Linked DNA regions of Cricetulus griseus. The protein of the gene in region 3 purifies or fractionates together with the protein of the main gene of each other region. This does not show direct contact. Links are inferred from orthologs where the notes say so. Each region holds a gene or a part of one and is shown on either strand. Other genes may lie near its edges. The genes, in order: Gemin4, Snrnp70 and Ddx20.

The links.
Region 1: the proteins of Ddx20 (region 3) and Gemin4 purify together in Homo sapiens (co-immunoprecipitation; 7 studies listed by BioGRID and IntAct, counting the BioPlex papers as one, with this or other methods). This does not show direct contact. The link is inferred for Cricetulus griseus from reciprocal best matches to the Homo sapiens genes DDX20 and GEMIN4.
Region 2: the proteins of Ddx20 (region 3) and Snrnp70 purify together in Homo sapiens (affinity purification with mass spectrometry; 4 studies listed by BioGRID and IntAct, counting the BioPlex papers as one, with this or other methods). This does not show direct contact. The link is inferred for Cricetulus griseus from reciprocal best matches to the Homo sapiens genes DDX20 and SNRNP70.

What each region holds. Positions count from the first base shown.
Region 1 is NC_048600.1:89,663,080-89,673,526, forward strand, and holds Gemin4 (gem-associated protein 4), read right to left. Parts: upstream 7,403-10,447; 5' UTR 7,281-7,402; coding exon 7,271-7,280; intron 3,708-7,270; coding exon 541-3,707; 3' UTR 348-540; downstream 1-347. Other genes in the region: diazepam-binding inhibitor-like 5, read left to right, coding at 8,086-8,349. UniProt on the Homo sapiens protein: The SMN complex catalyzes the assembly of small nuclear ribonucleoproteins (snRNPs), the building blocks of the spliceosome, and thereby plays an important role in the splicing of cellular pre-mRNAs.
Region 2 is NC_048599.1:154,297,708-154,308,192, forward strand, and holds the start of Snrnp70 (U1 small nuclear ribonucleoprotein 70 kDa), read right to left. Parts: upstream 5,891-10,485; 5' UTR 5,680-5,890; intron 5,420-5,679; exon of another isoform or gene 5,317-5,419; intron 5,043-5,316; 5' UTR 5,033-5,042; coding exon 4,886-5,032; intron 2,637-4,885; coding exon 2,574-2,636; intron 2,303-2,573; coding exon 2,248-2,302; intron 1-2,247. UniProt on the Homo sapiens protein: Component of the spliceosomal U1 snRNP, which is essential for recognition of the pre-mRNA 5' splice-site and the subsequent assembly of the spliceosome. SNRNP70 binds to the loop I region of U1-snRNA.
Region 3 is NW_023276806.1:51,316,887-51,327,371, reverse strand, and holds the start of Ddx20 (probable ATP-dependent RNA helicase DDX20), read right to left. Parts: upstream 6,553-10,485; 5' UTR 6,525-6,552; coding exon 6,224-6,524; intron 5,868-6,223; coding exon 5,773-5,867; intron 3,679-5,772; coding exon 3,510-3,678; intron 2,935-3,509; coding exon 2,820-2,934; intron 2,703-2,819; coding exon 2,560-2,702; intron 2,463-2,559; coding exon 2,324-2,462; intron 2,212-2,323; coding exon 2,153-2,211; intron 589-2,152; coding exon 506-588; intron 178-505; coding exon 72-177; intron 1-71.

The DNA.
Region 1 (10,447 bases), on a different chromosome or scaffold from region 3:
TATTGTTACCAAGCCTGGCTGAAAAGACTCTGAGAGGCCTCAGTAAAAAGAACATACAACCTTGTATTTTTTTGCTACTAGGTAGCTCCACCTTTGGGCTTACTGCCAAATGTGGGTGGAGAATTTCAGTTACAAACATGTTCCTCCCCAGCTGGACTTGTTCTTTTTTTTAAACTTTCGGATCTTACTATGTAGCCCAGGCTGCCACCCTCAGCCATGTAAAGGCTGATGTCATAGGTGTGCACTCCCACACCTGCCGCACTGGCTTGACTTGATCCTAAAGATTATCTAAACCTAACTTTGGAGCATATTTAAGCCCAAACTTCTGAGAAAGGCTGAAGACAAGATGAAACCCAAAAGAGTTTTATTGTAGTAGTATGTGACAAATACCTAAGAAACTATTTTCTTTACAGTGCTCTTGTAATGTACTCCTTTCGTCATGTATACAATCTCCCATAACTGTAGGGTTTGTTCTCAGCTCTAGGCTCTGAAGAACAAACACCATGTTGGAGGGATAGCTTTTTTCCAGTCCTCCACACGTCAGAAGTTGTTGATCTTCTGTAGCAGGGTTTGGCGCCTCTCCTCAGGGCTAAGATTCTTAGCAATAGACTTTAGAAAGCGCTGCTCATCAACCTTCTGGAGCAAGGAGCTGACAGAAGGGTTGGTCTTGATTAGGGTTTCATAGTAGGTAAGGATTTCCAAGGCCAGCACATACAGGGGCTCGCAGACCTCCTGGGGGAGCATGGCCATGATATGCAGAACATGACAGAACATCTGGGTATACACAAACAAGGTTTCCTGAGTCAGGTTTCCTTCTTGTCCCTGGGCCCAGGGGCCCACCGACTGTATCAACCTGACTGCATCCAGGATACTGGTCAAACTGCTACAGAGGAGTTTGACCACATGGCTCCAACCATCCATAGGAAGCCAGTTACAACAGCTCTGGCTGCAGAGAAACTGGAAAGCTCTCAAGGAAAGAACAGAGAGTTGGAGCTCCTGGGCAAAGGGCCTCAGGTTGAGCAAGGGAACAAACTGAATATACTCTAGGCTATAAGGGACATGAAGGAGCTGTTTCTCCAACAGCTTCCTGGTCAGCTGTTGAAGGTACTGCCATTCCTGAGGACTACACCAAGGCATGACTTGTACCAGGGCCACCAGAAAGCCCTTGCTAAACAATCTGACTTCCTCAGGATTGCCCACATCCACCACCAAGAGGGAAAGCATCTCTTCAGAGACACTGCGGGAAATGGAGCAGCACTCCATCCAGGCGAGAAGCCCTGTGCCAGGCCCATACCCTTCATGGGCCTGTGAGGTCCACTGGGCCTCAGAGAGCTTACATATCTCAAAAAGGGTAGCCGGCACCTCACACTTGAAGTGTCCTTCAAAGAAGTTCTTCAGTCTCAGGCCCACAGTCCAGTCTAGCTGGTCTAACTTGCGGTGGAGCCAGGACAGGGACTTGGCCCAGGTGTCTGGGGAGAAGGTCTCTGCATTAGCCAGCACGATCTCACAGAGGAGCTCCAGGATGTGGGTCACAAGATCCTTGCTGTCCAGAGTGAGACAGCGCTTCTCCCGGGGGAGCTGCCAGAACTTGCTGAAGCTGTCCAGGAGCCGGCACAAGCTGAAGAGCAGCGGGAATGGGGAGCAGGTTTGCAGCCAATACTCCTCCAAGCCCGCATTGGCTTCAAGGGTCTGGAGGAAGAGCTTCAGACTCAGGCCCACCTCCTCCATGTCTAGCATCAAGAATGGCAAGACAAACTCCTTCAGTACCTCATCAGGCTCCAAAAGAGCAGCAACTGGAATCCCCTGTGGTTTCACGGGGTTCATTAGGCAGCTCACCAGCTCCAGAAACTGCTTCTCTTCTTTGGGTGTAGAGAACTTTGTCCAGACAGTTTCTTTGAGGCAGGACACCATGAAACTGGTATATGGCTTTGGCCCTTGTGTTTCTGTGAACTTCAGGGCAGGGAAGGCAGTAAGAATCTGAGCCAGGAACCTGTGAGTGCCAAGATTGGTCACAGCTATGCTGCACATCTTCTTCACCACAACTTCTGGGTACAGGATCACCAGGCGGGCCACAGAGGTCACTGCTTTAGCCAGACCCTGTTCAGAGGTGCTCTGTGCAAGCTGGTTAAACGTTGTGTTGAGGTCTTCCTGAAAACCCTCCAAGTAAACAGACAACCTGTCCGAGAGGCCCTTTGGCCCCCAACAATGCAGGACTCCAGAAAGGACTTTATTTTTGTCTGGTAGGGAGAGGTCTGCATAGCATTCCAAGGTCAAGCAGATCACCTGCTTGATATGAGGCTGGGGGATAGCCCTGTTAGAGTTGATGACTTCCATCACCGTTTCCAGCAAACTCAAGATCAAGTCTGGTTCTCTGAAGAGAGACCTGTTGTTAACAAGGCAGGCAACCCACTCATCTGAAAAGGCCCACTTCTTCTCAGAAGCAAAAATGTAGCACATTTCCATATACCGGTCCATCTTCTGCTCAATGATGGCCATGGCAATGGAGGCAGTGATGTCCTCAAGGCCCCTGTCATTAAGCACTCTGCTGGTTTTTCTTAGGAAGTCCCTAACACACTCAGCCAGTTCACAGACCACCTGCCTCTCCTCCTTGGACATGCTGGCAGTTTCCAGGTAGAGCTTCAAGTTCTGGCTGAAGGAAGTCAGACTGTCACACAGCCGGTAGGTGTCATAATTTGTCCCCTGACTGCTGTTTAGCATGTCCTGCAGTTCTGCACCCCACTCCTGCAGCAGGTTGTGCATAAGCTCAAACCCCATGAAAACAGTCTCACTGGGGAGTTTGGCTAGTGAGGTGAGGCTCACATCCCGCTCTGCCTCCTTTACTTTTTCAGCCAGGGCCTGTTGATGGTATGGGTTCCGGGTGTCCGAATTCCATACAGAGATCACTGTGGCTAGTTTGTCTAGGTACATGGTGGCAGATACCTCCTGGGGGTCATCCTCCATCAGTGCAAACACACTCAGCATGTCAGCCAAGTTAGCTAATGCACAACACTTCATCCCGCGGCACAGGATTCTCTTTTGGATTTGCTTCAGCCCATTAAGCAGCATGGCCAACAGTGGCATGGTAGGACCCACATCTGGGTCAGACTTAAACCTCTTTGGAGGATGGGAAAACTCATCTGAAGATGGCAAGTATTTATGGGCCATTGTCCTGAATTGGGAAAGCAAGGGGTCCTGCTGGTCACCCTTGTGCTTTATCATTTCCCACCAGACATCCAGGAAGAAGGATACATCCTTGGAAGAAGTGTCAATGGTCATGTGTTCCAGAAAGTTCTGTAACTCTGAGCGGCAGATGGTGGTAGGAAGGGCCATTAGGAGCTGAATGAAGAGTCCAGAAGCTTCCAGAGACTTAAGCAGCTCAAAAAGGACTGTGTGGTTGATGGTAGGGATCATGTTGCCCACGGAGAAGAACACATCTTCCTGCCACCGAGTATCAGTATCAGAAGGGCTGACAGGAGAGGGCTGAAGAACCTTCGCCCAGATGATGATCAGTGCTTTCTTCTTCCAGGCAAATGGCTGGGAATGTGCTGTGGCTGAGGAGATCTCCTTCAAGGCGTCCACAATAGGCCGCCCCACATGTTCCCAGTCAGACTTTGTCAACTGTTCCAGGGCTTTGGGGTGGAACAGCTGCTCAGCCATCAAAAAGCCCCCATGCAGTATAGTCATTTCCTCACAGATATTTAAGGGTCCTGCACAGAGAAGTCAAGAGTTAATGAAGTTTTCAGAATGGTAAGCAGAGGCTAAGAGAAAGAAACAGAGTCACTGGTTGGCTATCATTATCAAGGTTAATAATACCTTGACATCAACAGGAGAGGAAGAAGGCACGGTTAGTAAGAGCTCCCGAAGGGAGAGGGTCCTAAGGACTTGGCTGAAGAATAAAATCCAGTTTCTAAGATCTCTAGCCTGGAAATCAGAAGAATAGTACCACAGGGACAGGGAGAGAGGGATTCAGAATAGATTACTAAGTTTCTTTTTAAGTATTTTATATTTACTTTAATTATCTGGGCCCTCAGGAGTTGGAGTTACAGGTGATTAAGAGCCACCTGGTATGGCTGCTGGGAACTAAACTCCAGTCCTCTACAACAATCTTATGTGTTCTTAACTACTGAGCTCTCTCCAGCTCCCAAGGACAGGCTTAAAGGGAGGAAGACAAGTTCAGTTTTGGTTACCTGGAGTCTGAGGCTGACTATTTAGTGATGTCTTTCAGCAATGGCAATGAGTTAAGGAGAAAAGGCCTGATTTAAGTATAGGCAGTGCCAACACAGAGAAGTTTATAGAAACCAAGGAAGAGACTAAGATCCCTCTGCAAAGTGTGAGGAGGAAAGCTGGACTGCTGAGATTACAGTGGGGACAGGACTGGGGGGACAGTGCCACCAAGTATGCATTAGAAGACATGACAAAGGCCAGTGACATGGCTCAGTGACCTAATGACCTGAGTTTGATCCCTAGCCTAATACAGCAAGAGAGAACCAACTCCTACAAGCAGTCTTCTGAAGACACAGACGGAGAGCCCAACACTGGGTGATGAGCAGCCTTTATTTTTTTTTTGGGGGGGGAGGGTAATTGTTTTATTTTAGCTAGCTTTGAACTCACAGAGAACTGCCAGCCTCTGCTTCCTGAGTGCTAGGATTAAAGGCATGCACCACACCCAGCTGAGCTTTTGTTTTTGAGCCCAAAGCCTTGCATATACCAGGCAAGCACTCTACCACTGAGCTGTATTCCCAGCCCTGCCTTCCTTCTTCCTAAACACACTGCTGCTAATGGGTTTCAACATTCTGGGCCTTACAGGGAAAAAGTTCACCCAGCAGTTTCTTCTAGTCAAAAAGGACACTACTGAACATTCTGGCTCTGTGGCAGGAACCAAGAAAACATTCATTCACTGAGCTAAGAACTGATAAAGACATTTAAAGAAAGGCAATATGGGAGTTTAATCAAATAATGGATTTAAATCCTAGCTCAGTCATTCAAAAATGTGACTTTACACATTACTGAGTCTGTCTGCATACACAGACTATAATCTTCAGTGGTATAACCATGAAAACCACATGACATACAACATATACTAGTCATACTTTTGGAACTATTTTGGTACTGTTACCTTCTCGAAACATCTTTCAGGGGTGGGAGAATGGAAGGTTACTATCGCAACAATAATCAGACCACAAAGAGCCTGATTTAAATGTTCAATTGTTGGCAGGCCCAGTCTTCTCACTATTTTGTCTCCTCCAGTGCAAAAACAAAAGGACACAGGTCTTTATCAAAGTGTATAATTTGGCCTAGAAACTAAAGATTCTAACAACTGGGAGTTGAAGAGATGGCTCAGCAGTCAAGAGCACTGGCTGCTCTTCCAGAGGACCTGGGTTCGATTCCGAGCACCCATATGACAGCTTGCAATTTCTGTAACTCTAGTTCCAAAGGACCTGAAACCCTCACATCAATGTCCATAAAATAAAATTATTGTTTTTATAAGTTATTTTTTAAAAAGAGTGTAACAACTAACTGGTCACGGTCACTGTTCCTGACAGCGCCCACCCATTCCCAGGGCCCAGAGATGCCTAACCCTTCCTTCCTCATGTCCAGTTTCCCATGCTCCAAGGAACATATTTTCCCCATTCTCATAGGCCAGAGTCAGCTGCAAAAATACTGACTCCAGTGGCCAGTTGTGGTGGCCCATGCTTCTAATCCCAGCTCTAGGGAGGCAGATTTCTATGAGGCCAGCCAAAGTACATTGTGACACCCTGTCTCAAACCTCCCCTACCCCCAGGGGGAAAAAAAGTGATGACTCCAGGGAACTAATGAATCTCTTGGCCACTAACCATTTACTCACACACCCAAAAACAAGTCAAGGATCAACACTCCTACTAAACCCAGGCCTGAAGGCAATGCACCTTGGCTTCCACAGTAGCAGAAGGCCCAGAGTTAGGTTGCTGTGGCAGGGTTCTTTCTGGCTCAGGTTGCCCTGCCCTCAACACCATTCCCTCGCAACAGTAAATTCAATTTAACTGCATTTATCAGCTTAGCCGAGCAGATGTCTGCCGACAAACATGAGATTTTCAGACACTGTGTACATGTGACTTGACAAAGTCCCAGACTCAGTTAATAGCTAGGGGAAACTGCAAGGCTTTATCAGTAGCTGGTGCTAGGAAGTGACTGCTTACTCTGGTAGGCACGGGGCTTGGTGACATACATTTTTTTACCCGTGACATAGGATCTTGTTATGTAGCCAGGACTGGCTTGAAACTATATAGAGCAGGTTGGCCTAGAACTCTTGAGATCCTCCTGTGTCTGCCTCCAAAGTGCTAGTTAGACATAAGCTTCCACACCCAGCTTTACACCTAAAAGACCATTTGATCATCCAACTAACTTCTTGAGGATTACCACTCCTGTTTTAGAGATGGAAACCTCGAGGCCCACATACAATTTGTGCAGGGTGTCTGAGTCAGCGGAGTCAAGCCATGGCAGAACTCTTGACAGCTTCGGGGCATGAAACTACCTAAAGAGCTGGCTGGGACAAAGATCTTTCTCCATAGCTTATTATTTGCAAATCTTGGAGTACCTCCCGGGACAGCCTCCCTGTCTTACCCTCTAAAGAGCACACCTAGCAGGGTGGGGAGGCTTGGCAGATGGCCACAGATTTCTATCAACGCCGCTCTCCTTCCAGACCTCGCCTAAGAGACTCCAAATCAAAGGATTCAAAAAGTACCATCTCTGTCTGCTGCTGCTGCAAACCCTGCTCGAAAGCGAGGGCTGCGGGACACCACTGTGCACAAGTCACCGTAAGGCGCCCAGTTATGCACGTGGTCTCAAAGAAACGCCAAGCCTGGGAGGAAAGCGGTATCAGCATCTCTGCTTTGTGGACCAGGAGAGCTGCTAAGAAACTTGTTCCCCGACTCGGCAGTCACCCAATAAGGAAGAACGGTCCGGACGTCCGTTCCTCCCAGCCCGGCATTTCCGAAACACGTGCAGTAGCCCTGTGCACTTTCAGGGGGTCCAGGGCTACATTCGCTCTCTGTTTTCTAATGGGAAAGAGACCACGAGGCGGAGGAGGGATCGAGGAAGACCAACACGAGGCCGGGCTGCGGGCTGGAGGCCGGCCTCGCGGCCGCGGGTCCCTAAAAACTCCTCAGACCCCCGGCCTCCAGAGTCGGCTCCGGAGAGCGCCACTGGAGGAGCACAGGGCCTCGGCCCACCCTGGAGGGGCTCTGCCGGACGCGGCCCGACACCAGGCCGGAGTAGGGAAACGCGAACCCACCTAGGTCCATGGCGGCGAAGCTGGCGGCCGGGCTGGACCGCCCCTCCCACTCCGAGGCCGCGAACGCGGTGCCCCCGCCACGGCACAAAGGGCGGCGCCACAGGCGCGTCACAGGTACCGCCCACAGCTCGTACGGGCTTCCGATCAGTACTCCGCTCCCCGGCTGCTGCTCCGTGCGCACGCGTCTTCCGTCCTCCTCGACAAGCTCGCGGCGTCGAGGCCGACCAGGCCCACAGCGCCCCCTCTCGGCCCTAGGCTTCCCAGCCGGCCGTCTACCCTCAGGTAGGTAGGCAGGCTCCTTGCGGAATTACAGTTCTCTTGAGGCCAGGAGGTCCAATCCCTTAGTCCAGACTTCTCACTCTCACCCAGGAACCCCCACGATTCACCTCCAACGGAATGGCCTTTCCCAGGCTGCCCACTAACCAGCAGCGGATCCATGGGGCTCCCCGTCCAGCCTCAGAGACACACAGAAATGCCCAAATGCTTTTCAGCTCTCATAGGCGCCTTTGTAAGTTTGAAGGACAGTCACACTGGGCAAAGCACTGTGGGACAGGGCCAATCGAATGGATTCCTGGTCAGCAACTTGTAGTTTTTCAAACACACACACACACACACACACACACACACACAGACACATACACACACACACACACACACACACACACACACACACACACACACGTGTTCTTCCCACACATTATCTCTTTGTCCTTTCTTTCCAAGGCCTAATAATCGTCTGCTTTGCTTATTCCCAACTCTCTTCTAGTACCAGGTATCACTAGAACAGAGAGGCACACACAGCCTCTGGTGCAACAATGAGCCAAGTGGAGTTTGAAATGGCCTGCGCTTCTCTCAAGCAGCTGAAGGGTCCTGTGAGCGATCAGGAGAAACTGCTGGTGTACAGCTTCTACAAACAGGCCACCCAGGGCGACTGTAACATCCCCGTCCCTCCAGCCACAGATGTGAGAGCAAAGGCCAAATGGGAAGCGTGGAATGTGAACAAAGGGATGTCCAAGATGGATGCTATGAGGATCTATATTGCCAAAGTGGAGGAGCTAAAGAAAAACGAGGCTGGCTAAGGACATTTTGGCAGACACAAGGAAATAGCAGTGGCTCCACTGGTGGGGAATGGGTTTAAGAACTCCTGATGGCTGAAACATACTGAAAAGGGTAGCAAGGTTAGCGGAGACATCAATAAATCACTTGAACGGCACAAGAGTGGAGTCTGTGTCAAAGAGCAACTCTGTGAGGGTCCTGGAAAGCAGTTCAAATGTGTAAAAGCACCTCTGCTGGCTAAAACTCCATTAGTCATGCTTTGTGTGGTCTGACTGGCTATGTGGATGGATATTTGGCAGAAGAGGGGATGGGTAGGGGTGAATCACGCTATGAAAATGACCAAGGTCGGAAGTGAGGCAGAGCTTGGACCTGTATCAAGGGCTGTCAACTCACCAAGAACCCAACAATACAGAGGGGAAAGCGGCTCTGCCTTCTAAAGAGCTGAAGTCAAATAGAAAAGCCCTCATCTAGAACACAGGCCCAGTGAAGTTAGTATTTTGATGGAGCTCAAACTCTGAGTGACAAGGTGGTGACATAATTCATGCATCACAACACAGCAGCCGAGGGACAATGGAGCAAGATGGTTTCAGAATCTTAGCATCCAAAAGACTCATCTAAGGCTTAGCAACCTAAATGTTCTTAGGATTGCTCTTCTTAACCTAGGTTTCTGCTTGGGACCCTGACAACATGTATATAGGCACATGTGGCTCACATAAGTGCCAGGGTACCCTTTGTCAATCATTTCAGCGACATCGGTGTGCTACCATGGTACCTGGAAAGCTGGCATATGAAGTGTTAGAGTTCTTGAAGAACTCTACAATAGCATGGCATTTTCCAATACTTTCTTCAAAACTTGTCTTCCATCTGAGATATAACCACTTGCCTGGCATGTTGAGGCTTTGGGTTTAAGCCCTAGCAAATATATTCATATAAATGTAGTAAAAATTCTCAGCTACCAGGGTGAAGGGTGAAGGATCATAGCAGCAGAGCGGCCAGCCACTGGAGTTCTTACCTCTACCAATGCTAAGACCAGAGGGGCAATCCTGTCTTCAGACTGCATCCCCAGACTTACTGCCCTGCCTTATATTCATCTCTCCACCCAGCCATATCCCTTCCTACCTCTACCTCCGTAGTGCTGGGGTTAAAGGCGTGTGGCTCCCAAATAATGGGATTAAAGGTGTGAGCCACCACCATCTGGCTCTGTTTCTCTTTTAGACTGGATCAATTTCGTGTACCCCAGGGTGGCCTTGAACTAACAAGATCCATTTTCTTCTGTCTCCTGAGTCCTGGGAGGTGTGTACCACCACTGCCTAGCCTCTATGATTAACTAGTGTGGCTAGCTCTGCACTCTGATCTTCAAGCAAGCTTTATTTGTTAGATCATAAACAAATATCACCACACTATAACAGAAGTTTCTAAAGGTGTTTTGTTGTTATCAGTCAGTTATTCTGGTTTAGGGGATAGGGCCTGGCTGGCCTGGAATTCACTGTGTGAACCAGGCTGGCCTCAATTTACAGAGATTCATCTGCTTCTTCCTCCAGAGTGCGATTACAAGCATGAACCACCATGATGGATATAAAGTATATTTTTTATCATTAAAATATTTTCATTTATTATTGTGTGTGTTCTATGTGTAGGTGTGGCAGGAGTGAGTGTGTTAAGTTTGCATGTGGAGGTCAGAGCACAACTTATGGAGTTGGTTCTCTCCTTTGACTTTTACACAGGTTCACAGGAACAAACTCAGGTTGCCAGACTTTTTTTTTTTTTTTTTTTTTTTTGGTTTTTCGAGACAGGGTTTCTCTGTGTAGCTTTGGAACCTATCCTGGCACTTGCTCTGGAGACCAGGCTGGCCTAGAACTCACAAAGAACCGCCTGCCTCTGCCTCCCGAGTGCTGGGATTAAAGGCGTGCGCCACCAACACCCAGCAGGTTGCCAGACTTTTGTAGTAGGTGCCACCACCACCTACAGAGCTATCTTGTAGGCCCTAAAGTTTTTTTGTTTGTTTTTGAGACAGGGTTTTTCTGTGTAACAGCCCTAGCTAGCCTTGAACACACAGAGATCCACCTGCCTCTGCCTACCAAGTGCTGAGATTAAAGGTGTGCACCACCAAGAAGAGTCAAT
Region 2 (10,485 bases), on a different chromosome or scaffold from region 3:
TTGCTCTCACTGGTCAGAACCCCAAGAAGAAACTAGCCCACAAGAAGTCTCAAAGCTACAAAAGTTCACTAGGCTGACCAGAAACCTAACTGCCCTTCTGTATAAGATACAGGCCTAACTTGATTGATTTCTACATTCCCCCACCCCAGTTTGAGAGCTTCAGTCACATCCAAGAGCCTGCTATGCTGGTTCTTAACACTTTTTAAACATACCTACTGACTTGCCCCAACTTTTCCTTATCAAGTTGTTTATATGTTTTTTTGTTTGTTTTAAGGAAATGAGGTCAGTCTGTTCTATACAATCTTTCACATTCTCCACGGGGTGCAAAGCATACCTGGATAGGCAAGGAAGAGACTGGGCTTTTATGCTGAGGTCAGGAGGCGGAGATAAGCGCTTGTCCTAACAAAGCCCCATAAAGGATTTTGGCTAGGGAAGGTCAAGTAAACAAGACACACTGCTACAGCACTGCCCAAGCCAAAAGGGATCGGTGCTACTGGAGGACAGGAATGTCTAATGTTGTGACATTTAGCAAGTAGCAGGACAGGTCTTGGTGATAAGCTGGGAAAGTTATATTGATGCTGTGGCTAATCTAGTTGTAAACTTTAACACATCTGAAATCAACTAAAACCCATGCCTGTGGGGATTTCTGGATTGAATTATTTAAGGTAAGAAGATCCAACTTAAATCAGGGCCACACCTTCTGTTGGCAGCCAACATAAAACCATGAATGAATGAAGTTTTTGCCTACCTATCTTCACTCTCCTGCCAAGTTCATCCATCCTGCTGTTGAGCCATTCTTTCACTGGTATTAGAACCTACTTATTCAGAATTCCAACATGGAATAAAGCTGAGATATCCAACTTTGTGGACCGAACACTAACAGACTCTTAGCCTTTCTGTTGAGAGACAGCCACTCTAATCTGTGTGTGTGTGTGTGTGTGTTGCGTGTCCGGCATGGACACAGATATATATAAAACATAAATGGAGGTCGACCAGTTGTCTTGTTTTAAAATAATGTATAGAGGTTTACCAGTTGTCTCTGTGGATTTTTTTTTTTTAATGGAGGTAGACCAGTTGGCCTTTTGAACTTGATTGACTGATTGATTGATTGAATTTTCCCCATTCTCAATTCTGTTCCTTTAGAGAATCATAACACAGGTATAAAAAACAGAGTATCAACATCTGGAAAGCCATGTCTCAGGGAAGGTTGAATCCCTTAGGAACTGGGAGGAGAGGAAGGTGATTGTGTGGCTTCAACATGTAGTATGCGCATGAAAGAACATCTAGCCAGGTATGGTGTAAGAACCAGAGCTCCATGCCCCATCTGTTAGTCATGTATACTAAATACACTTGAGAAAACCCAGAAGTTCTAGCATATGGTTTAGAAAGAAACGATTCACTAAGGCTGCAGACAATAGATGGAGATAGATAATGATGAGTCTTTACATACAGAACACTGAGATCTCATCCTTTTGAGTCTGGTTACCAAGCACTACTTAAATTCTCCACACCTGGATGGTAAAGCATCTCCACTTCCAGGATCAGGAAGCCAGGGATAAAGACAGGACCAACTGACCAGATCACCTCATGCCTTATCCTGGAGACACAATGGGATGTGGTCCTTTTATAGATAGGGCAAGTGACTGGGGTAATCCTACCTGTTAAAAGCCTACACCAACTGGAGCTGGAGAGATGGCTCAGCGATTAAGAGCACAGATTGCTCTTCCAGGAGTTGGTGTTTCATTCCCAGCACCCACATAGCAGCTCATAACTATCCAACTCCAGTTCCAGGGAATCCTATGCCCTCTTCTGATCTCCCACATACAGATAGGCAATACACTCATACATGTTTTTTAAAAACTAATAAGGCATACAAGAACTTTTAAAACAGAGAGCCTAATCCAAGAGCTATGCTTGGCAAGTGGTTGCTAGGAAAGTGAACTAACTCTGCTTTCTCAGGCACCCAGGAGAATAGTGGCTCAGGTATGACCTGGTAAGAGCAGCAAAATGAAGCCAGGCGTTGGTGGCGCATGCCCTTAGTCCCAGCACTCAGGAGGCAAAGGCAGGCGGATCTCTGTGAGTTCAAGACCAGCCTGGTCTACAAGAGCTAGTTCCAGGACAGCCTCCAAAGCCACAGAGAAACCCTGTCTTGAAAAAACAAAAAACAAAAAACAAACAAACAAACAAAAACAAGAGGAACAAAATGAGACTGGAGGGGAAGATTGATAGGAGGGAGGAGAACCTTACACATTTTCAGCTCTGTCTCCACTTCCTGCTGTCGCCGTTCAATCTTTTCCCGTCTCTGCCAATAGAAAGAAAATGTAGAGTTAAGTGCAAGCAGGGGTACCTGGACTACAGGGATCTCTGGAAAAAAGTAGGTAAAAATATAGCAAGACTAAGAAGTGCCTGGCGGCAGCGGCGAACCTTTAATGCCAGCACATGGGAGGCAGAGGCAGGCGGAATTCTGTGAGTTCAAGGCCAGCATGGTCTACACAATGAGCTCCAGGACAGCCAGGGCTACACAGAAAGACCCTGTTCTGAAAAAACAAAAGACTCACGTAAAAACAACATACCTTTCTCTCCATGCGTTCTTCCCGGGTTTCTGCCCTTGTTGGAGGAGGGGCATCTCGAGGGTCCTAGGAACAAGAGAGGTGATGGAAAATAGCATGGCATACCAGCAACGAAAAGACTCTCAGTTCCCCCCCATACACAAGTGCCATTAGTTCCAGTATAAACAGAAGACAGAGGGTGGAAGTGGTCCAATGAGGACCAGTGCTGCCCAGACTACTGGAGGTCTGTGGCAAGGACAATACAAACATCTCTACCAGGTGTTGGTTGTGCACCTCTTTAATCCCAGGACTCAGGAGGCAGAGGCAGGCAGATCTATGAGTTCAAAGCCAGCCTCGTCTACAGAGCAAGCTCCAGGACAGCCCAAGTAACTTTACTAGAATAATTAAACGGAAAGAAAAAAATATCATTTTTGAAGGTACTTTTAAACAAAACACAGAAACAATTCCCTTGTATTTAGCAAAAGCATCAATCACCAGGGATGGTGGTAGTCCACGCCTTTTATCTCAGCACTCAGGAGGCAGAGGCAGGTGGATCTCTGAGATCCAGGCCAGCCTGGTCTACACAGTGAGTTCCAGGACAGCTAAGGATACACAGAAAAAAAACCTGTCTCAAAACAAAACAAAAAAGCACCTACAATGACTGGTAGACATTTGTTCTTCATCAGAGTGTAACATAAGTTACATAGCTGTAAAGTACAGTTCCAAAGCTACCTGGCAAGAAGAAGAAGAAAAAAAGCAGGGTGGTAGGGGTGCACACCTCTAATCCCAGCACTCAAGAAACTGAGGCAGTGTAGCTGGGCAGTGGTGGCACACACCTTTAGTCCCAACACTCGGGAGGCAGAGGCAGGCGGGTATCTGAGTTCTGAGGCCAGCCTGGTCTACAAGAGCTAGTTCCAGGACAGGCTCCAAAGTCACAGAGAAACCCTGTCTCAAAAACCAAAACCAAAACCAAAACAAAACAAAAAGCTACATGGCTCCCAAAGGAATTCTGCAACTCCCCACAGTTCCAAACAGAAACCCCAAAGAGTGGAGACACAAGACTTTAATCCCAGTACTTGAGTACTTGAGAGCACAAAGCCAAGTAGATGTATCTCTGCAAGCTTTAAAAAAAAAAAAAAGACAAAATGGGGCTGAAGAGATGGCTCAGCAGTTAAGAGCACCAGCTGTTCTTCCAGAGGACCTGAGTTCAATTCCCAGCACCCACATGGCAGCTCACACCTGTCTGTAACTCCAGTTCCAGGGGCTTTATGGCACCAAGGAAGCAGCATGCATATGATAAATAAGTTTTTAAAATAAATAAGTTTTTAAAAAATTCTTTTGATAGGTATTGTTTATTACATTTCTTTCTTTTTACTTAATTTTTCCGTTTATCTTACATCCAAAATAAATAAAGGAAATTAGCTGGTCCTGGAAGTGGACACCCATTAACTGCAGCATTTGGGAACCTAAGTAGGACTGGTATACCATCAAGGCCACTCTGAGCTACACTGTGGTAATGTCTTGCTTGTACAAATAAAGCCTGTTTGAGGGTCGGAGAATGAAGCTTGCCACTAAGAGGTCTGTAGATCTGTCCATTTACACTACATAGCAAAACTCTGTCTCAAAACTCAAACAAAGGGGCTAAGCACGATGGTTCTGCAAGTTAAGGCCCTTTTCACCAAAGGTAACAAACTCAGCTTGCTCTCCTGAGCCCACACAATGGAAAGAGAGATCTGATTCTTTCAAGTTGCCCCCTTATAGGTTTATAGGTTTGCACACACACATCCATACACACCACAAATACAAGTGTAATTAAAACTTAACGATGCCGGGCGTTGGTGGCGCACGCCTTTAGTCCCAGCACTCGGGAGGCAGAGGCAGGTGGATCTCTGTGAGTTCGAGGCCAGCCTGGTCTACAGAGCTAGTTCCCGGACAGACTCCAAAGCCACAGAGAAACCCTGTCTAGAAAAACGAAAAACAAAAACACTTAATGACGGGCTGGAGAGGTGACTTAGTGGGTAAGAGCACTGACTGCTCTTTCAGAGGACCAGGGTTCAATTCCTAGCACCCATATGGCAGCTTACAACTGTCTGTGATTCTGGTTCCAGGGTACCTGACATCCTTGCCAAACACCAATGCATATAAGATAAAAACTAATAAATTAAAAACTTAATATAAAAGAAATAGAACGCACACAAATGCAAAAACAAGATTAAGAAAAGTAAAATCATAAACCACAAAACTAAAATATGTTTAAAATCTCTACTCCAAAATGCAGCCTGCTCTCATTCAGCACCCAAGCCCTTCTAGTAGGCCCCATGTCTCCCTTTACTCACCTCAAATTCCCGGATGTATGGTGCAATGCCACAATAAGGTTGGTTGTGATGTTTTTCATGTGGCAGCTTTTCTAGGGGTGGCAAGTACGGGATGGGGTCTCGAGGGGCAAAGAGGGCCAGAAGGTTGGGAGGCAGAAACTGTGTCATCTTGCCAAACCTGAGACCAGAAACCTTAGGTTAGGGAACTTTAGCACAGGAGGTTCCCTCTAGAACCCCTTCACTCAAAATCAAACAAGCAGACAGGAGAGATCACGAGGACGCTGCTATCTATCCCGGGTGAGCCGGTGGAAGACATCTGCACGAAAAAGGTCGGTCTTGGCAGGAGCTGAGAAACAAAGGACTAAAAACACAGAAAACAAGGGAAAAGGAATCAGGAGGTGAGGGACCTAGAGACCTGAAGCACTAAGCTCAGAGGGTTGCTGGCCTCATACCTTGGAGATTACGAGGTAGGGGTCTCAAGGTAGTCCAAAAAGATCAAGCCAGGGGATCTGCGTAAAATATCTAGGATCCCAGAGGCGAACGGAATTATGGGTACAGATCCAGGATGCGACAAAAAAAAAAAAAAAAAAGCGAGGAAAAGAGGCAACACATAAAACGCAAGGGCCTGTGGGTAGGGGACCGCGAGAGGCAGGGGGAGGGGGACGCTGAGGGGACTCTGGGTAAAGGATGGGGTGGTTTGAAGCGCGGACCCGGTAAGCGGGCCTCAGGCGCGGGTAGAGAGTTCGGGGACCCCGCAAAGGCTTGTGGGTAGAGCGGACCCGAACCCCGTTAAGGCCACTCATTCACTCACTCACCGCGCGGCGCTCTCCTCGGCCTGACGTTAGTCTCAGGCCTCGCGGCCGCCGTTCACCAACAAAAACTCCCGCTCTGGCTTCCACTTCGGCGGCGTCTGCGTCAGCTACCTTCAGAGGTCCGCGCCGCGCGCGCAAACCAGGCCGCTCCTCACAACCCGCGCGGCCTCGGCTCGCGACAGGAACGGAGAGGGATCCGGTCTAGAATCCCTCCGCCGCACGCACCGCGCATGCGCCGCACGAGTCAAAAGACACCCATTTTGAGGTCTTGGCTCTACAGCGAGCACTGCGCACGCGCAAAGCCAAGACTCCGCCGTCAGAGTCCTTCAATGCTTAGGCTGCCTTGGCCTGGCAAGCGACGTGCGCATGCGTGCTCAGGCACTAGGTCGGCACCCACCTCGCGCTCTAGCCAACCGCCTATGCCCGCGAGACACTTACTGATGCCCCACCCCTTTCCCCTTACACTTCCCGGACCCTGTACGCATGCGTGAACGTAAAGTGCCAGGTGGAATATCCTTCCGCAGACTGTTAAAAAGTACCTACCTCATCAGGGTCATTGCTTTTATTTTATTTATTCATTTTTTTAAAGATTTATTTATTGTGTATACAGTGTTCTGTCTGCATGTGTCCCTGCAGGCCAGAGAGTGCACCAGATTTCATTACAGATGCTTCTGAGCCACCATGTGGTTGCTGGGAACTGAACTCAGGACATTTGGAAGAGCAGCCAGTGCTCTTAACTTCTGAGCCATCTCTCCATCCCGGGTCATTGCTTTTAAATTCTATTTAATGGATAAGTTCTCTCCCAAGTGTCTTGTATGTTCTAGACACTGTTTGAACTCTAGGGACACAACATGTGACAAAATAGTCTTCTTGGAGCTTACATTGTTTGGAAATATAATACGTTTGTTTAGTGGGTTTTCTTTTTTGTGTGTTCTGTTGTTTTATTTTTCTTTATTTTTTTACACAAGGTTTCACCGTTTGGCTCAAAATTACCTTGCAGTGTGTGTGTGTGTGTGTGTGTGTGTGTGTATGTGTTTTGGCTTTCTGAGACAGTTTTACTGTGTAGCCCTGGTTGCCCTGGCTTACCCTGTAGACCAGACTGGCCTCAAACTCACTGAGAGCTTCCTGTCTCTGCCTCCTGGGAGTTGTGATTAAATGGGCGTGCCACCATACCCAGCAGGGTTGTGTTTTCTTAATTGTGTGTCTTTTCTGTCAGTCTGTGGTGGGGGTGTGCACATGGTTACAGGTGCCCCCAGGGGTTAGAAAAAGGTGTAGCCCTTGGGAGCTGGTGTTATATGTTGTTCCAGGCCTCTCATATTGGGTGCTAGCACCTGAAGTCAGGTCCTCTGGGAAAGTGATGCCATCTCTTCATCCTGAGCTCAGGGCTTCCTTGCATGCTGGGTAATCTAATCACTCTGCCAACTCAGGTCTTGCTCTAGTGAAGGCTGATCTCCAACTCATTGTTACTGCCTGGTTGTTTTTATTTTCGTATGTCTGTTAGTGTACAGGTGCCCAAGGAGGCCAGAAGAAGGCATTGGATCTTCTGGACTTTAGTTACAGACATTGTTTGTTACCTGATCTGGGTGTTGGGAACCAAACTCAGGTCTGCTTTGAGAGTAGCAGCCAATTTTAACCACTGAGACATGGCTCCAGCCTGACACAATTCTTTTCTTGGATATCTGAGAGTAAATTGCAGTGGCACTTCAGCCTTCAATACTGTGCACAGGTCCTCTGAGAAACAAGAACTCTTCTATAGAACCACAAACTTCCAGCAAGAGGCTTGTGTTCCCTGGCAGCCTATAATCCCAGAACTTTGAAAGTGGAGGTAGGATGATTAGGGGCTCAAGCTGGCTTGAGCTATACAGGACTCAGTCTTGGGACTGGAAAGATGATTTAGAGGTTGAAAGTGTGGCTGTTCTTGCAGAAGTCAAGAGTCTCCTTCCCAGCACCCACAATGGTGGCCCACAAACACCTGCTACCTTTTTCTGGCTCCCATCAGCACCCGCACTCAGGTGCCCCCACATATACATATTTTTTTAAAAAGATGTCTCAAAACACAAACACACCTTTAATCCCAATACAGGAGAGGCAGAGGCAGGCGAGTCTGTGAATTCAAGGCCAGTCTGGTCTCTCCGTAGGGAGTTGCTAGACAGCTAATTACATAGTGAGACCCTGTCTTAAAAAATAAGTAAATAGAAAGTGAAACAGAATTTTATGTCGCTCCTAATCATATTTTGGCAAATGATCCAGGAATGTTTTATTTTCATGTAAAATATGGTCCCATCAAACAGGTTTGTAAGACTTTACCTCCAAACAAAAAGCATTGGGGCAAGGAGACAGCGGGCAGGGTGTGAAGCAGTAGCAGAGCACTTGCCAGGCACGCTGGAAGATTTGGTTCTGTCCCCAAGACATGATTCTTAAAAAGCCCTTAAACTGGGCTCAGTGTCTCACACAGGTATTCCTAGTATAGGGTCGCTGAGAATGGAGAGTATAATTCCAGTCTGATCTACCCTGTCTCAAAAACAAAACAAAAATCCTCCAAAACCAGAACAAGGGGCTGGAAAGTTGGTTCAGCAGTTAAGAGCACTGGCTACTCTTACACAGGACCTGGGTTTGATTCCCAGGATTCGTGTGGGGTTCACACCTGTCTGTAACTCCAGTCCCAGGGGACCCCAGGATTCATGTGGGGCTCACACCTATCTGTAACTCCAGTCCAGGGGACCCCAGTGCCATCCTCTGGCATCCACAAGTAACACGCATATACGTTGTGTACAGACATACATGCAAGCAAAACACCCACACACATGACAATAGCAAAAATAATTTAAAAACTATTTCAAAATAAGTTGAAATGTTTTTAAATGTAGTTCACCTTCCCTCTATAATCAGCACAACTCCTATCTTTGTATCTGAAGCCACTGGTTATTGACAGAGCCCTTGATGTGACAGGTTGAAGTTGGGGAAAGGGACTAGGTTGGAATGGGTTCCAGATTTCAATGTTAAGACACCTGGTAAACTGGCTGTGGGGTGCATGCCTGTAATCCTAGGGCTGGCAAGATGGAGAGAGGAAGGCTAAAAGTTTGCCATCAGTCTGAGCTACACAGTTCAAGGTCAGCCCAGACAGCCCTTATGAGCCCAGCCTTTGCTTCAATAGATAAAACAGTTCAGTGTCTCAAGTATCTATACCAAACAATATTAGGAACTGAGTTCTGATCCACAATAATCACGTAAAAAGCTGGATGTAAACTGGGTAGTGGTGGTGCACACCTTTAGTCCCAGCACTTGGGAGGCAGAGACAGGTTCTATGTGAGTTCAAGGCCAGCCTGGTCTACAGCAAAAATTCCAGGGCAGGTTGCAAATTAAACAAATAAACAAAAAAGCTGGATGTAGCAGAACTTGTTTGTATTCCTAGTGCTCGGGGGAAAGGGAGAAGAGACAGGCAGCTCCTGGACTCAGACAGTAGTGTTGAAAAGTTAGACATCTGGATTACACTAATGTCAATTTTGTTTTTCATTTAAGCATAGCATAATTTTTGGAACTGAATGAAGGCTGTTGAAGAACTGGATTTTTATGGAGCTGGCTGTTCTTTAAGAGGTCTTGAGTTCAATTCCCAGCTCAGCAACCACAACCACAGGTGGCTCACGGTCACCTACAATGGACTCTGAGGGCCTCTTCTTTATGTCTGTATAAAGTCATACATGCAGATACTCATACAAGGTGTGTGTGGTGTGTGTGTGTGTGTGTGTGTGTGTGTGTGTGTGTGTGTGTGTGTATTGGTGGATATATGCACGTAAGTATGGCTATTGGAAGAGGCCAGAAGAGGGTGTGAGTGCTCAGTATCTGGAGTTAAAGGTGGTTGTGAACCATCTCCACTGAGTCCTGGGAACAGAACTCCAGACCTCTGGGAGCCATCACTCAGGATCTCTCTATATAACTCAGGCTGGCCTCAAACCTTCAGTCCTGTGTTCTTCCTGATACTTTATTGGTAGGCACTCCACCTGGCTCTTAAAACAATTTTTAATCTTACCTATTTAGTAGTTATTTTGGGTACTAAAGATGGAACCTAAGGCCTTTTAAATGCTAAGATTACAAAACGTTGTAAATAATCACAACACCAGCCACTGGGGATTCTAGTCCAATGCTTGATCATCAAGCACACACATATCCAGCTTTCTGCTGTTCGCTCATAAATATCAATAACTATCCAGGTAACCAGGACAACATTCCCCAACTCACTTAAGCCTTCACTTAAGCATTTCATAGTCTATTTTCCATATGAAGTAATAGTCTAAGGTCCCAGTTGAAAAGTTTCTACACCCCAATAAGCCTCTCTGCCGATGCAGGAATCCAAGCCCACATTTAATGGAGACAATGCTCCCGGATGGCCTTGAGGAGACAGGAATGGGAAACTGGAAAAGCCACAAGTCTGTTCTCTGGGGGACACTTTAAATACCCTGTGGGAGTTGTTTTGAGTATCTCTGAGGGAGGGGCCATCATTTGGCAGGCTTTCTGAGAGCATCAGCGTTTGGAGGGAGGTGGGGGAGGGGACTTGGGTAAAACCTCCACCATAACATCCCAGACTCTTTGGATGCCAGGGGCTGGGGCAAAGCTTCCACCATAAAACCAGTGATTAGGGGATGGACATTTGCTTCCACATTGTAGACATAGAACTAGCAGCAAGGATCCCAGCTGTTTTAGCCAGAGTTCTATTGCTGTGAAGAGATTCCATTACCACAGCAATTCTCTCTTTTGGTGGGGGAGGGGACTCAAGACAGGGTTTCTCTGTGGCTTTGGAGGCTGTCCTGGAAC
Region 3 (10,485 bases):
AAAGAAATAACAGTCCAAGTACCTTTCACACCAGCCTTCTTGTCAAAGCACTAAACTTCCTTTTTCCTTACCAAAGCGGCCAGCTCTACCAATCCGATGCATGTATGTCTCCCAGTCTAATGGCACATCCAGATTTACTACCAGATTCACCTTCTCAGCATCAATCCCACGGGAAGTCTTAAAAACAATTGTTTATATTAATTACAGCATGGCAACCTATGTATGCTCTTCTGGTATAACCAAAATCCAGACTGAAAACAGGCAAATATTTAGGATTCAGAGGGGAAAAAAAATCTATTTCTAATGACTGACTAGGACTAAACTATTTAAAAAACAAATTTTAAACATTAAAGACATTTTTAAGAAAGCACTTTGCAGAACTAGAAAGGTCATTTTTATCTCTGGCACCTACCAGATACACCTGCTAGATACATGAAATAGGGCAGCAATCTAATAACAACACACCCCAAGACAGACAGTCACCCAAACCTAGCTAGAGCTTTACCAAATCTGTAGAAATGAGGACTCTGCAATGAAACTGCTTCAGTTTCGCCATAGCATCAAGGCGCTGATTCTGATTCATGTTACCTAGAAAAACCAAAAAACTAAGTCATTTTAAAACACCTAAGCAAGCTGGGTATTGTGGTGCATGCCTGCCATCTGTTGTCCTAGCACTCAAGAGGTTGAGACAGAAAGAGCCAGAATTCAAGGTCAGCCTAGACTCCATAAGATCCCATCTCAAAAACAGTAACAAAAACTTAAGCTAAGATATACTTATCAAATCCACAATAAGCAAGAATCATAATTCTTAATGTTTTAAAGAAATACACAAACCAGTTAATTCTATCCTGTGCAAATCTGAATGCTAAAATCTGAAGTCATTATTTTTCAAAGTGTGGTTTAGGCAATCAATTTGAAATTCAAAAATCAATTGTAAATGGTGACATTACAAAGTCTAAGACATACTTTTTAGGAAAAGGGTTATTACCAATTATTTACAAATCTTGTTTTAAGAATCTGTGAGAGCCAGGCAGTGGTGGCGCAAGCCTTTAATCCCAGCACTCGGGAGGCAGCGGCAGGCAGATCTCTGTGAATTCAAGACCATACAAGACCTAGTTCCAGGACAGCCTCCAAAGTCACAGAAAAACACTGGGGGGGGGGGGGGGGGGATCTGTGTGTGCCTGTATCCATGTATCTATCTGACTGTATACAGTTGTATGTGCCTATGCATTCAAAGGCCAGGAGAGAGCATCAGATCCCTAGGAATAAGAACAGCTGGCTTGTTATATGGGTGCTGGGGTCCAAACTCCTGTGCACATGATTGCACAGGAAGTGCTTTAACACTGTGTACTCTCTCTAGACCACAATTCTGATTTTGAAATGTGATCCAAGATTGAGCTATCAGCCCATTAGGAAATTAGTCTCCTTGATATCTCACACTGAGTATGTTCCCCCTAATAAAGTAAGAATTTCAATACAACATATAAAACTGGAAGGAGCTCATTAACCAAAAACTCCTTTAAATCTTTTCTATGAATCCAGCAATTAATAAACTGTGGATGAAGTGAGTCACTTTGCCTTCCATAGACCATCAAAGTCAACTCAATGGCTAAAAGTATAGCTCCAAAGGAGAGTACTTACCTAGCATGTGAAAAGCCAAATCTGATAGTAGGGGAAGCAGAGAAGATAACTCAGCTAGTCTTAGCATGTGTTTCTATGACAACAGGGTCTTGCTATGCTGTCCATACTGGTTTTAAACTTAACATAGTCAAATATGGTCTCAAGTCCACGATCTTCCTGCTCCAGAAGAGTACATGCAATACTATACTCTAAATACTAAAATTTTAGTATTTTAATAAGTGATTATATGAAGAAACAAATGTCTTAAGACAAATAAGATAAATTTTGTTTTATAGAATTAAGTTCTTAGCAAATATAACTAGAACAGACCAAGTTACTCTTTTTAAAAATTAAATTTAAAAATCCAGCAGACTGATTATCAAATGCCAATGAAAAATAAGCCTAAATTTCCTTTATTATGAGTGCAACCTCACACTCACAAAACAATTTAAGAAGTAATGTTTTTCTCTCTTGATATGGTAGGCTTCAAAGCAATACATTAAACAAAAAAAAAAAAAAGAGCTGGACTTGCCTGAAATGCATTCAGTAGGAAAACCTTTAGAAGAAAGGATATCAGCCAAATGCTGTGCTCTACAAAATAAATAAATAAATAAATAAATAAATAAATAAATTTACAGCTTTCAACTATTGCCTCATGACTATTCTTTTACTTTTTTAAGTTCCTGGGATTAAGTTTTATTACCTGCTGTGCAAATTAGAAAACACCAAGGCTTGATTAAATGGGACTCTACTGAAAAGTTCCTGTAAGTGCTGAGTCTTTTCCTCAAAAATCTTATGAGCCAAAGGGTAAGAATTGACAACTTGGTAGTACTGCTTCAAACCTACAATGAAATCAAAAACATCCAATGAATTCCACTATGATGTGGTTGGTCATAGCTCCACAGTGTTACAAAATAATTCTGCAAAATCTGTACGTACCTATGAGACTTGGATCACTGGGATTCAATCTTACAAACGTGGGATCTCTCATATACCTTGTCAAAGCATTAGCCAAAAATTCAGGGTAAGTAGCAGATACTGCCAACATCTGTTTACTGGCAGGCAAAGAAGAATAAATCCAACTGTAAAATACAAGAAAACATATACTGTGAAAACTACGCAGACAGCAAACACTACCAGTAAAAGCCATAGACAAACACTTAGACACAACATTTTTATAGTCAAGCTAGTTTTCTTACTTTATTTGTTCCTGGAAACTGCCTTCTTCTAAAAGCTTATCTGCTTCATCAAGAATAAAGAGACGGATACTGCCCGGATTCAGGTAGTCAAGTTCTATGAGCTGTTTAATTCTACCTATATGCCAGGAAAAAAATAAAAGCTGAAATATTCATGACATCAAATCTGTACAACCCTCAGGAATGCTTTTACTGTATTTATCCACAGGTTATACTGCTGAATTTCTTCACAGTGTACATTCACATACTACACAGCACAATCTTAGAAATCTTAAATTCTCATCTAGCCTGAATCCCTCCCCCCTCCCACTTTTCATCATCGATAGATATGGAAAACAAGCACCACTGCTATCAAAAGACTCAAATGCTAAGGGATTGAATTCTAGATTCTAAGTGATTTATGAGCAAATTACCAGAAAGAACAACAGAAATCTCAACCCATGGCTTAGACAGGCTTCCTGAAAGTCAGGTCATTATTTCAGAAGCCTATCCCAAGTGAAATCCCAAACAAGCTTTAGAATGGAGACAAGCAGATTCTATTGATAATCCAGCCATGTGTTTCACTAGTCTAATGCTCTTCACTTCTAGTGAAAGTAATTAGCCCCATGATCAAAGACTCCCATTTACCTATAGTCGCATTCAGTGTTACATTTCACAAAGAACATCAGGTACCAACAGGTATTAGTAACTCACCTGGAGATCCAACAGCAATATGACACTTTTTAAGTCTGGTTTTGTCTTGAGATAATGGAGTCCCTCCAATAAAGACATGACATTCTAATCCTTCCATTTTTATTCCAATGGCTGTGATAACAGAATGTATCTGAACAGCAATTTCTCTTGTGGGAGCCAATATCAAAATCTAAAATAAATTATAAATATTACTTTAACAAGTCAGAAGAATACATATGAGTGATACATTCATTGCATGCTACACTACTTTTCATTGTAAGAGGAGTTTTAAAACAGGAGAAAATATTCCATTTATTCGGTTAATTATTAAGAACGTACTATATGGGAGAAAACATACAAGTTGTGAAAGAATTGCTCTCTTGGCACTTTTTGGTTATAACATAAACAAAAACATATACATGTAATAAAAAGTATTATTTAAAAAAAAAAATCAAATAGGGAAAAAAGAAAGACCTGACAAGGGAAATCATTTTAAATGATCAGAAAGCCCTTCCGAAGTGACGTTTTGGCATGCACCTATGATTCCGACACTCTAGAAGCAGAGATATGAGGATTGCCTCAAACTGAAGACTAGTCTATGTTGTAAGCTTCTGTCCAGCTAGAATTAGGTAGAGTGTGCCTGCTTCCAACAAACAAACAAAGAATTTTAAAAGTCCCATAAGAAAGTAACATTTGAGACATACAGCATAGAGCTAGTTGTGGAACACACCAGAAGCAGTGCTTCAGAAAAAGAAAAAGCAAATCCAAAGGCCTTAAGGTACACATAAGGAGCAGCAAAAAGGCCCAGGTACTAAGATTTTAAGAGGACTCTATCTCAGAGTTAACTCCCAGAGTTAGGTTCCAAAGGCCATGAGAGCCACACATAGTAAAAACTGCAGAACATACATATTGTCACTATAAGAAAATATTGCTTAAAAAAAAGACAAGGAAATAATAAAAATATATTTTTTTAAAAATCTCTTAACTCTGGGTACACATCACATATTTAGAGTTCTTTGGTACTTTGTTCTTTTCCCTGAAATTTCCCAACTTAAAACAATTATGTAGTGTTACTTTGATAAACACACACACACACACACACACACACACACACACACACACTTTAATAATATAAATACTTTAACAAAAAAAAGGGAATTTTACTTAGGTTTAGGATTTGGTATGCTGCCAAGTGTCACAAGCCAAACTCTCTCAAACACATCTTAATTTACAAATAGACTAGCCACTGTCCTTAAGTTATATTCAGTATCTGCCAGAATGTGGTGGATACAGAGCTCAAAAAGATTCCTAGACAACAAATACAAGGATCCCGGGTTAAAAAAAAAAAAAAAAAAAAAAAAAAAAAAAAAAAACCAACACTGTTCAAGATTCATCATCACAACAGACACTTCTTAACCTGAAATAAAGTTACTATACTACTACACTCCAGAAGATGGTGGGAGGACCACATCCAACTCATTGCTTAATCCCCAGTGCCTAGTGTAGTATTTGCATGTATTACTAACTGAACAAATCTTTTTGAAGAATTATCTCCCAAACCCATATTTCCTACTAGTTTGAGTAGGACAATCTTCAAACTATTCCAAGGCAACCTAAAATTAAGAGGATCTCTGTGAATTCGAGCCCAGCCTAATATACAAAGCAAGTTCCAGGACAACCAAGGTTACACAGAGAAACCCTTTGGGGGTGAGGGGGGATACAACCAAAAAAACCACAACCATATTAAGTTCTGCCATAGCGTATTATATAAACCAAAACTTTTAAGTTTATTTCTAACCCCAATCTAGTAAGTAAAAGTTTTTTTAAAAAAATTTTTTTAAGATTTATTTATTTATTATGTATACAGCGTTCTGCCTGCAGGCCAGAAGAGGACAGGAGATCTCATTACAGACTGTTGTGTGCCACCATGTGGTTGCTGGGAATTGAACTCAGGACCTCTGGAAGGAGCAGTCACTGCTCTTCATCACTGAGCCATCTCTCCAGCCCAAGAAAAAGTTTCTTAATTGCATAATGATTTTAAGTAACACATATTCAAAATGTAATTATAGAAGACTCCAAATTTAAAAAAAAAACTTAATAATGATATTCTCGGCCACAACTCAACGACCTTACCATCTATGTAGTTTACTTCTGTAATTTTCCTACGGTTTCACATTCTCCGATTCATCAAACACACCATCTGTGAGGAGTCAGTAGTTTTTCATAAGTCTAGCTAGAGGCCACGTGCTACACACCCCCCGTCTGGATCCTCTGAGTTACTCACCTGAGTACTGTAGTTTTCAAGAAGAAGGGAGTCTAGAGCAATGGTGGAGAATACACAAGTTTTCCCAGTGCCAGACTTAGCTTGAACAATTAAATCTGAGAAAGAAAGAAAGAAAAAAAGAAAAGAAAAAAAGAATAGGTATCATTAGCAAGACTCGCTGAAGCAACTAGATACCAATATAGGACCAGGGAACGGCCGGATTCTCTCCTAAGACCACCTAACTGTCACCTATATTTTTAGTTGACCCTGAAGCGCGCGCGAGGCGTGCATCAACCACGGAGACATTTCTCCAGCCCCTTAGTCCCCGAATCTCTACCGCTGCTCGTCTCCAGCTTGGACCCGGCGCCTTCCGATCCAATTGCGCGCCTCGAGCACTGCCGAGCCCCGCAAAGGCGCGGAGCCGGAGCTCTCCGGGGCCAGGCCCCCGCCCGCGGCCGGCCCCGGTCCTCACCGAGCCCGCAGCGCCCCAGCGGGATGGCCTTCAGCTGCACGGGAGACGGCCTCTCAAAGCCGGCCGCCCGCAGCCCCTCCAGCACCGGCCGCGACAGCAGCAGCGACTCGAAATCCGCGGGCTCCGCCAGCACCACGTCCCCGGTACGCGTCCGCGGCCCGCCGATGTCGTGAGCGGTCCGCAGGCTCCACGGGGAGCTGGGAGTCGGCTCCGCGGCCGGGGACCGCACGGCCGCGCGCTCCGCCGCCATAGCGGACTCCGCGGTTGTCAAGGCCGCCGGGGCTTCAAATGCCGCCGCCATGGTAGCCGCGCCTCGAGATCTCGCGATATTTGGAGTCGAGGCGGGGCTCCTGGGAGCGAGAAGAGGAAAAAACTTTATTGTCAGTCTCTCGGTGAAGACACGGACGCACCCGGCCTGGAAGTGGAGGAAACGAACGGAAGTCGGAGGCTGGCGCTCTGGGGACGGACAAAAATGTAGCCTGAGGAAGAGGCGGGAGGAGCGAGGAAGATGAGGCTACCAGTGCTGCCGCCGGCGGCCTGCAGAGGGCGTCGCGTGCCCGCGGTGGGCGCCGCCCGCCTCCCGCGGCTCTGACGGACGGGCCGCGCGGCGCTGCTCCGGAACCCGGCGCTCGCGGCGCGCTTTGTGACGCAGCCAGAGCGTCAGGCTCGGCCGCCGCTGGGCTCCGCTGCCCCGGTCTAGCTTGACTGAGGCCGCGCCGAAGTCTTCGTCCTCCGCACTTTTCCCCGCTGCTCCTCAGTGCTCGCAGACAGCGCCCCGGAACACAGCAAAACGGGGTTCCCTGCCCTCGGAGAGCCCTGTCACGTCGGCGCCCCAGCCCCTTAGCACAGTGCGGGAGACTGACTGGACCGCCAACTCCCAGGCTCTGCGTGGGCGCTCTCTCGAATCTCCAGGCTAATAGAGCTCTCCGGTTCAACTCATTTTGTCTGCCCTTCCTTCCGATCTCGGGTGGGCAACTAGCACACCACTTCCCCTTCCTCTGGACCCGCTCACATGTCACCTTGTTGTAAGAGGTCTTTCTTGAAATCTTTAGTCACCCCCGTCCTGCCTGCTCCCTGGCCTTTCCCGTTATTCTCACCACTTGTTTGATTTTTGGTTTGATTAGCTTGGTTGGCTTTTTCTTTTTCTTTCTTTCTTTTTCTTTCTTTCTTTCTTTCTTTCTCTTTCTTTCTTTTCCTTTCTTTCTTTCTTTCTTTCTTTCTTTCTTTCTTTCTTTTTCGACAAAGTCTCCCTATGCAGCTCAGACTGGCCTCCTGCCTCGACTTCCCAAATACTGAGATGACAGGTGTGTGCCTTATCACCCCTGGTCACTCTTCATGAATGTTTATTGTCTCCCTCACTTCCCCCGAAGGCAGGAAACTATTCTGACTTGTTCTCTTCTGCCACTAGGAGGAAAAACAAAAATCTGACACATTGAACGCTATTTTCCTCTCACACACACCTGCAGAGTCTTTCTCCTAGCTGAGTATTACTCTCAAGTTGACAAGACCTATGACAAACCTCATTTGTCCCTACGTATAATTCTGGTCTTGTTTCCCATATCCCAATTGTGTAGAAATATCTTTGGCAAGGAAATTTCACTAGAAGTGGGAGCTGGAGATGGATTCTGTTTGCTTACTGATTTACAAAATACTCAGCAAGCACCCACTAGCCATGTGAAGGAAGAGGAACTAATAAGGTCCCTCTTAGCTGCTCACGTATTTCATCCACTCTTTGCCCTCACCCTCTTTCTGACAATTTACTGGCAGATGATGTCTCCAAATATCTCCCTCACTCCTTTTCAATATAGTATCTACTCATGGTCTTTTGGTCACTCTAACTATTGAACCCTTCCCTATTGGCCTCCCAGTCCAGATTCTTCTCTGCCCAGGCCATGCACCACAGAGGCATTGAAATGACTTCCTTTGTCTGCTTTTCTCTTTCCTATGGGTTGAAACAACTTTGGCATACTAAGCAAACACTTTACTATTTAAGCACATTCCCCGTCAGAGAGTGACTCATTCCTCACTTCTTCCTTCCTCTCTTAGTTTCTTTTCCTGTTACTGTGACAAAATACTTTGACAAAAGCAACTTAAGGGGAAGGGGTTTGGTTTTGTTTTTCTGGACCACAGTTCAAGGTACAGTCTGTTATGGTGGGAAACTCAAGGCAGTAGGAGCTTGAAGCAGCTAGTCACATTACATCCACTTTCAAGAGGCATACTAAAAGTATACTAAAGGATAAATAAAATGTGTAACTAAAGTGGCATAGTAAGCAGCCTTATAAAAGACGGAAATTCTAACAAATACTACAAAATGAATGAACCCTGGGGACCTTATGCCAAGTGAAGTAAGCCAATTAGAGAAGGACAACTACTGTATGTTTCCATTTGTGTGAATCAGATTCATAGATGTAGAAAATAAAATGGTTGTTAGCAAGGGTAGGGAGATGAGCAAAGAGTTGTTATTTAATGGGTTTAGAGTTTGAGATTTGTAAGACGAAAAAGTGTGGGAGGTCCTGTTTCACATCAATATAACTCTACTTAATACTTGAACTGTACACCTAAAAATCACTAGGATGCTAAACTTAATAAGTGTATTGACCACAATTTTTTAAATCATAGCTTTCAAAAGGTTTCTATGATTTGGAAGATGGCTCCTTGGGTAAAGGCACTTGCTTCCAAGCCTGACTACTTGAGTTCCATCCAGGGACCCACATGGTGGAAGGAGAGAAGTGACTCCTGCAAGTTATCCTCTGACCTCCACATACATGTTGTCATATGCACACACCCACACAAACACATACATACTCACTTTTTTATTCTACCATTACAGTATATACAGTATTAGGATTTTTTTGTTGTTGTTTTTGGTTTTTTTTTTTTGTTTTTTTTTTTTTTTCGAGACAGGGTTTCTCTGTGGCTTTGGCGGCTGTCCTGGAACTAGCTCTTGTAGACCAGGCTGGTCTCGAACTCACAGAGATCCACCTGCCTCTGCCTCCTGAGTGCTGGGATTAAAGGCATGTGCCACCAAGTATTCGGATTTTTAATGTGTAATGAAAATACCCAAAAGAATGCATACTATATTAATAAAGACATTTACCCTCAAGAAATGGGAGGAGAGGATTCAAGTATTCACTTTGTCTATTTTGATAATATATTTGGCATTATTAGAAGAAAAGACATTTGAATGTAGTTTTTAAAACTATAAAAATGAGGTTAACTGAACAGCTTGAACTGGTAGTTAGGTAAGTGCAGCTAGACTAGACATGGCAGCTTGTGCTCTCTAGTCCAGAGCTTGAGAAGCTGAGGCTGGAGGATCAGCACAAGTTTGAGGCCAGCCTAGGGTACATAGTAGTTCTAGACCAGCCTGGACCACAGAGTAAATATGTGTCTGGAAAGGATCATTAATCATGTCTTTAGAAGGATCACTGATTTTGTCTTCAGGTATTCTATCTGTGCCCTGTTCTTATTGCAATCAAATAAAAATTGCAAACCAGAAATAAAAAGAGGAAACAGGGTCCTATAAACATGAGCCATGGAGTTCTTCTGGTGGGATGTCCTGTAGATAAACAGAGAAGCAAAGCAAATAGAACATAGATGACAGTGCTGTTGTCTATCCTAATGATGATGGAAGATGATGGTGAATAGTGATGAATGAGATGGGTGTGGTGATAGTGGCAATGGGGATAACTAACATTTATGAAGCTCATCTTCTTGTGGGGAAATCACAACCACATGAGATGGATACTACCATCCCCATTCTGCAGTTAAAGAAGGTAAGACACTTAACCAGCTGCAATGCCTATGAACCACAATAGTATTATGGCAAGATATCCACAAAGGCACAATAGTGGCACTCAAATATTAGTGGTAACTAACAGCTGTGTAATTGAACTGAAGGCCCACTCAACAGCAGCAAAATCACACCTGGTACTAGAAACCTAGCCCAACTTCCTGTGACTAATGTGGTCATGGATCTTAGAAGAGAATCTACTACTACCATTTTGCTAGGCCAACATAGTTCCTAATTACATTTTAAATATTATTCTTAAACTCACAAGTAAGTTTAGCTACCACCCCTCATCACATTGTCTGGCATCTCTTAGCCAGACAATGGTGGCCCACACCTTTAATCCCAGCACTCAAGAGGCAGAAGCAGGTGGATCTCTGTGAGTTCAAGGCCAGCCTGGTCTACAGAGCAAGCTCCAGGACAGCCAGAACTACACCCTGTCTAAAAAGAAGAGGAGGAGTAAGGAGGAGGAGGA